2 linked regions of the Macaca fascicularis genome follow. The protein of the gene in region 2 purifies or fractionates together with the protein of the main gene of each other region. This does not show direct contact. Links are inferred from orthologs where the notes say so. Each region holds a gene or a part of one and is shown on either strand. Other genes may lie near its edges.

Region 1 (3,518 bases), on a different chromosome or scaffold from region 2:
GTCTTGAACTCCTAACCTCAGGTGATCCACCTGCCTCGGCCTCCCAGAGTGCTGGGGTTACAGGCATAAGCCACTGTGCCTGGCCCTTTTTTTTTTTTTTTTTTTTTTGAGACAGGATCTCGCTGTCACCCAGGCTGTAGTGCAGTGGTATGCTCCTGGCTCACTGCAGCCTCTACCTCCCAGGTTCAAGCAATTCTTGTGTCTCAGTCTCCCAAGTAGCTGGGATTACAGATGCCCACCACCATGCCCAGCTAATTTTTTTTATTTTAGTAGAGATGGGGTTTTACCATGTTGTCCAGGCTGGTCTCGAACCCCTGGCCTCAAGTGATCCACCTGCATGGGCCTCCCAAAGTGCTACAATTACGGGCATGAGCCACCGCGCCTGGCCCCTCCCTTCCACTTCTGACTGGGCTCCCATTTCCCCATGATTTTTCCCACCTCCTCCCAGACTTCCCAGCCCTGCCCTTTGCTCAGAATTCTAGACCTTGAAGGTTGAGGCCTGTGGACACCATGGTGCCCACACTGCCGGCCACACCAGTGGGGACACAGGCCTAGCGAGGGCCAGTGACACACCCCAGGCTACAAGGCCCCTGGGTATCCTGCCCTGCCCACCCCTCTGTGACCCTTGCCTGCCCCCTCTTGAACCCAGGGTCTCTTCCGTCTGGCTGCTGGGGCCTCAGTGCTGAAGCGTCTCAAGCAGACGATGGCCTCGGACCCCCACAGCCTGGAGGAGTTCTGCTCCGACCCACACGCCGTGGCAGGTGCCTGATCCGGGGAGCCCTGGGCAGGAGGTTGGGGGGAAGGGGTGCAGTGGCGTGAAATGATCCCAAGATAAGCCTGGCTTCAAGACATGATATTCTGTTGAGGAGACTGAGGACGCTCAGGGGTTCTTAATGTGGGATCCATCATGAGCCCCCCAAAATGTTTGTACATTTTTCTGGGGAAATGATGGCTAGCCTTCATTTTCTCAAAAGGGCCTGCAGCCCAAAGAAACTGTCAGATCTAGACACATTAGTGTGAACAAGGGCCGGAGGTTCCTTCTACAGGGAAAGTGGGAGAGCGGGGTGGGGGCTGCCTCTGACCCTCCCCCACACTCCTGCTTCAGGTGCCCTCAAGTCCTATCTGCGGGAGCTGCCAGAGCCCCTGATGACCTTCGACCTCTATGACGACTGGATGAGGGCAGCCAGGTGAGGATGTTGGAGGAGGGAGGGGATGGGGAAGAGGAGGATGCAAAGGGGTAGCCCTGCGCTGGCTGACAGGTCTCTCCACTCCCTCCGCAGCCTGAAGGAGCCAGGGGCCCGGCTGCAGGCCCTCCAAGAAGTGTGCAGCCGCCTGCCCCCCGAGAACCTCAGCAACCTCAGGTGAGCCCAAGCCCGCCCCCCCAGCCTGCCACAGAGCCAGAGCCCAGCTGGGGTCAGGGACCCTGGGCTTGAGCCTGGCCTTGTCACTATATTTTAAGAAATATTTCTGCAAATGCAGCTTTGATGGATTAGTCATTTACATATATATATACATACTGTTTTTTTTTTTTTTTTTGAGACAGGGTCTCACGCTGTCGCCCAAGCTGGAGTGTAGTGGTGCAATCTCAGCTCACTACAACCTCCGCCTGCTGGGTTCAAGCAATTCTCCTGCCTCAGCCTCCTGAGTAGCTGGGACTACAGGCACCTGCCACCACACCCGGCTAAGTTTTGTATTTTTAGTAGAGATGGGGTTTCACCATGTTGGTCAGGCTGGTCTCGAACTCCTGATCTCAGGTGATCCACTCACCTTAGTCTCCCAAAGTGCTGGGATTACAGGCGTGAGGCACTGCACCCGGCTGAATTAGTCACATACATATTTTTATGTAAAGCATTGAAGTGAATGAGACCTTGAACTTTTGAAGCCATACTGCCTGACTTCGCATGCCACTTCGGGGCAGGCCACTCGGCGTCATCATCTGAAAAATGCAGACTGTAATAGTCCCTACCCTGTAGGGTGGCTTCGAGGACTCAACTTGGCTCAGTGCCGGCCGCAGGGTTGGCGCTCAGCGGATAAGCTGCTTTAACTGTGACAGTGTTAAGACCATTCTGGGCGGTGTCTTTCACACTCTTTGGAAACCCTGAGCTGGAGAATTCTCAGGGCTGGGTGCGTTCTGCCCCTGGCCTAAGCCTACCTCTGCCCTTAGGTACCTGATGAAGTTCCTGGCACGACTGGCCGAGGAGCAGGAGGTGAACAAGATGACACCCAGCAACATCGCCATAGTCCTGGGACCCAACTTGCTGTGGCCACCTGAGAAAGAAGGGTGAGGGGCCGTGGGCTGGGGGAGGTGGGAGGAGGAAGGCAGATCCCACCCCAGCCATCTGTTGTCTTATTTTTCCCCTGGGCCTCGGTGTCCCCATTTTTGGAGTGGGTTGAGCAGCTCCTGTTTTTGCGGCTGCCGTGAGGAACAGGCCGAAGGGGCCGTGCAGGCCACAGGGCTTTGGAGAGAGGCATTCTGGCCAGTGGTGGTCATGAGATGTTTAGTGGCATGGGAAGCTGGGAGCCCAGAGATTGGGTTCGGGTTCTTTGTTTTGTTTTGTTTTTTGTTTTTCTTTTTTTTTTGAGACAGAGTTTCACTCTTGTTGCCCAGGCTGGAGTGCAGTGGCACAATCTCTGCTCACTGCAACCTCTGCCTCCCCAGTTCAAGCGATTCTCCTGCCTCAGTCTCCCAAGTAGCTGGGACTACAGGTGCGCACCACCACTCCTGGCTAATTTTTTGTATTTTTAGTAGAGACGGGATTTCACCGTGTTAGCCAGGGTGGTCTCGATCTCCTGACCTCGTGATCCACCAGCCTTGGCCTCCCAAAGTGCTGGGATTACAGGTGTGAGCCACCGTGTCCGGCTCAATCAGGTTCTATTAATAGCTCCACCCCTGGCCGGGCGCAGTGGCTCAAGCCTGTAATCCCAGCACTTTGGGAGGCCGAGACGGGCGGATCACGAGGTCAGGAGATCGAGACCATCCTGGCGAACACTGTGAAACCCCGTCTCTACTAAAAATACAAAAAAATTAGCACACTGTGAAACCCCGTCTCTACTAAAAATACAAAAAAATTAGCACACTGTGAAACCCCGTCTCCACTAAAAATACAAAAAAATTAGCTGGGCGTGGTGGCGGGTGCCTGTTGTCCCAGCTACTCAGGAGGCTGAGGCAGGAGAATGGCATGAACCCAGGGGGCGGAGCTTGCAATGAGCAAAGATTGTGCCACTGCACTCCAGCCTGGGCAACAGAGCGAAACTCCGTCTCAAAAAAAAAATAAAAATGAAGAAACAGGCCGGGCACGGCGGCTCATGCCTGTAATCCCAGCACTTTGGGAGGCCGAGGTAGGTGGATCACCTGAGGTTGGGAGTTCGAGACCAGCCTGGCCAACATGGTGAAACTCCGTCTCTACTAAAAATACAAAAATTACCTAAGCGTGGTGGTACACGCCTGTAATCCCAGCTACTCAGGAGGCTGAGGCAGGAGAATTGCTTGAACCCAGGAGGTAGAGGTTGCAGTGAGC
Region 2 (3,518 bases):
GTGTTAGCCAGGATGGTATCGATCTCCTGACCTCGTGATCCGCCCGTCTCGGCCTCCCAAAGTGCTGGGATTACAGGCTTGAGCCACCGCACCCGGCCTGAAATGCACCCTTAAGCCTAAATATCTGACTTGAATTTGCCCCGGCACATTTAACTGGCATGGTGAAGTAGGAAGAGCAAAGGCATTGGAATCTAACAGTGATTCTTGCATCTTTAAGCTTCAGTTTCCTTCTGTAGCTAGCCCAGGTTTCCGGGTTCTGTATTAACCCTGTGACCATCTAAACCCTTGACACAGTCGATAGGAAGCTGGTCATTCTCTCAGCCGGGCCTTTACTTAAGTCCTGGACAAACAAGTTGACCAAGGGCATGCAAAGACTGCCACAGGGTGCCCCATAATATATGCAGTGCACAAATCATTCTATTTTTGGTGGGTCGGTATGGCAGTGAGCTGACCCTGACCAGGTGTGGAGGGGAGTGGGCAGGGGTGGGCGACGGGGCTGTGGAACTGTGGCCGGGTCCCCACCCCTATCGGCAGAGGCTCCATCCTCCCCTTCCTCTCAGCCACAGGTGCAGGATGGTAGACGAGAACTTGCCAGAAGGATGCAACCCTATTTAAGTAGTTGTGTTTTCTTCCAGCCCAGCATCCCCACCAAAACAGGAAAAGAAGTATTCTCGTGCAGGGCTTGTTCATAGTGAGCCTGGCTGGCTCCTCGTGATCTCTGACTTTAAAATGTGCCAGCAGATAATTTTAATGATCCCATCAAAAATTGTTGTCTGGATCAGTTTCAAGCTAGCATTTCCTTGCAGAGGCCATTCTTCCTTTTTTGACAAAAGTCGGGTCGGCCAGGTGCAGTGGCTCACACCTGTAATCCCAGCACTTTGGGAGGCCGAGGCAGGTGTATCACCTGAGGTCAGAAGTTCAAGACCAGCCTGGCCAACATGGCAAAACCCCATCTCTACTAAAAATACAAAAAAAAAAAAAAAAAAAAAAAAAAAAAGGAAAGCCAGGCGTGTTGGCGGGCACCTGTAATCCCAGCTACTAGGGAGGCTGTGGCAGGAGAATCACTTGAACCGGGGAGGCAGAGGTTGCAGTGAGCCGAGATTGTGCCATTGCGCTCCAGCCTGGGCAACAAGAGTGAAACTCCATCTCAAAAAGAAAAAAACAAAAAAAATAGACAAAAGTCAGGTCAGCCACTGCCGCCCCCCAGTGTCAAAGATTGCAGTCACAGGTCAGGTCTGCCCCGACCCTGCAAGCCTGATTGTTTAAAGTGACTTGGTTCTTTCCTGCCCTCTGCTCACCCCCTTAACCAGGTTGGTTCCACCTTTCGCAGCCTGAAAGTCGATCTCCCTGATGAGGAGAAGTAGAAATAGGTGAGAAGCAACAGAGCCGTACCCTCTGAGACGGGATCTCCCCCCAGCCTCCACCCGTCTCCTGGTTCCAAAGAGAGGAACCCGCCTTTTGCTGGTTTTTCTTCTATGGGCCTGAACTCATTTTGAACTCTACCCTTTCTGATGCTGTTCTTTTCTTCCTCTTTCTTTCTTTATTTCAGCTTCCACATTTTATTTCAACATCAGTCATGGTAGCTACAGATTCTTACTTTCAGTGTAGTAACATTGAGCATTTATGTGCCTAGCACTCTTCCAGGCACCCTGTGAGTTATGAGACAGGCACATCTCTCCTTAAAGAATTTATATTCTTGTCAGGGAAATAAGGCTTCAGATAAGAAAAAATTGGAGGGAAAGTGCCGAATTCCTTCTTCCCTAACCTGCCTCCATTTCCTCCCTCCTCCAAGTGGAGATGATTGGGTCAGAGCCAGTTCTTCCTGGGCGTGGGAAGAGGAGATGGGGCTTGAGTGCTGCCGCCCCCCTCATCACCTCAGTCTGTATTGAGACTCTCGCTCAAACTCCCCTCACAGAGTAGAACAAACGGGCCCTGGCGCGAGGAAGGGTTTAACCCAGGCTCTGCCATTGCCACCTGCATGACTAGGGTGAGCCACTAAATCCCTGTGGCCTGGAGTCTCCGTCAGAGGTTGTCTGTCCTTCCCCGCGAGACCGCAGCAGATGGCACCCCAAAGCCACCATTCGGGAGCGTCAGGGCGCAGCAGCAGCCCGGGAGCTTCCCCTGCAGTGTCAGGCCCTGAACCCAGGGTGGACGGCCTGGCCTGGGCCTGCCAGTAGAGGCCTGAAGACAAACCGAGCGAGTCTTCTCCAGTTGGCTCGGGTGAGCCGGTGTCTGTCAAGAGCCTCTGCCTTTGCCCTCCCTGCTGTGGCTCTGGGCATCTGCCTGCTCTACCATGGGCAGCAGCAAAATCTTCTCCCTTGAAAGTGGGGGCCCTGGGCTTCTGCCGGCTGGGCTCTTCATGGTCTGAAACTGAAGTCGGTTTGTGCTTCAGTTCCCAGGCTGCAAAAGTGGCCTTGTCATACCTGCAGCTGGCTCCACGGTGGGAACAATAGGCTCTTTGCAGACCGTGGAGATGGGCTGGGCTGTCTGCCGTTCTCAGAAAGCCCCGGCTTTCTCTGACTTGGAATGTTTCTGTCTTTTGCAGATGGAGAAAGATGAAACTGTGGGTGACTGCTCCCCACACATAGCCAACATCGGGCGCCTGGTAGAGGTGAGTGGCCGGGGCTCTGGCTGGCTCCTGTGTTGGCCCACGGCAGTGACACTGCACCCCCGGCACCGCTGTGCTGGCCTCCTTCTCTGCTGCTTTCTCCCAGCTCCACAGCAGCCGGCAGAGCGCTGCTTGGATTTTGCCCTGGCCTCATATTTTCGGAGCCTCTGATTTGGATGCCAGCAGGCTGTGGCTTCAGGGCCACCTCCTGCTCCCCCCCCGACCCGGGCTCCCAGAAGACTCTGCTCAGGCGCTGGCTCTGGGGCGCACTAGGTCTTGTCTCCCCTGATCGCCTGGGTGTGAACAGGGCCCTGCGCTGGGAGAGGAAGCAGATGCCAGAAATGCCAGTGGGCCCTGGAGTGGCTTCAGTTGCGGCTGCCTTGGCCCTCCTGTCACCACGTTGTTTGGGAAGGCAGGGAGGTGCTCTCCGGTTTCACAGAATTGTTCACAAAATTAGTGGGGAGTCTGAGGGGCGGTGATGTGGTTTAGACCAGCTCCCAGGCATGGGCAGAGTTGGCCGCCAATACCTGGGTACTGGCTTCCTCCCTTCCTGAGGACGGGAAGGCGCCTGGAGCACAGATGGCAGGTGGGGTCTTGGCAGCCTGGAGCCCGCTCACCCGTGCCCCAGAGCAGGTGTGTGCTGCCCTCCAGTGGCCATAGTGGGGACTGCAGGGCTGGCGGGTGGAGAGAGGGCGTTGGCCTCAGGGTTCCTGACCGTTTGCCAAGGCGCTGACCGACCTCCCTTCCAGGACATGGAAAATAAAATCAGAAGTACGCTGAACGAGATCTACTTTGGAAAAACAAAGGATATCGTCAATGGGCTGAGGTAATGTACCAGAAAGCACACGCTTTAGAAGCAGAAAGAGGGGTTTGAACCCTGGCTCTGCCAGTTACTAGCTGTGTGGTCTTG

What was found. Proteins that work in one complex are often made in the same cells at the same time.
Region 1: the proteins of CAPZB (region 2) and SH3BP1 purify together in Homo sapiens (co-immunoprecipitation; 3 studies listed by BioGRID and IntAct, with this or other methods). This does not show direct contact. The link is inferred for Macaca fascicularis from reciprocal best matches to the Homo sapiens genes CAPZB and SH3BP1.

Annotation. Positions count from the first base shown.
Region 1 is NC_088384.1:13,993,141-13,996,658, reverse strand, and holds part of SH3BP1 (SH3 domain-binding protein 1), read left to right. Parts: intron 1-649; coding exon 650-761; intron 762-1,105; coding exon 1,106-1,187; intron 1,188-1,280; coding exon 1,281-1,361; intron 1,362-2,164; coding exon 2,165-2,281; intron 2,282-3,518. UniProt on the Homo sapiens protein: GTPase activating protein (GAP) which specifically converts GTP-bound Rho-type GTPases including RAC1 and CDC42 in their inactive GDP-bound form.
Region 2 is NC_088375.1:215,739,937-215,743,454, forward strand, and holds part of CAPZB (F-actin-capping protein subunit beta), read left to right. Parts: intron 1-2,545; coding exon 2,546-2,611; intron 2,612-3,357; coding exon 3,358-3,434; intron 3,435-3,518. UniProt on the Homo sapiens protein: F-actin-capping proteins bind in a Ca(2+)-independent manner to the fast growing ends of actin filaments (barbed end) thereby blocking the exchange of subunits at these ends.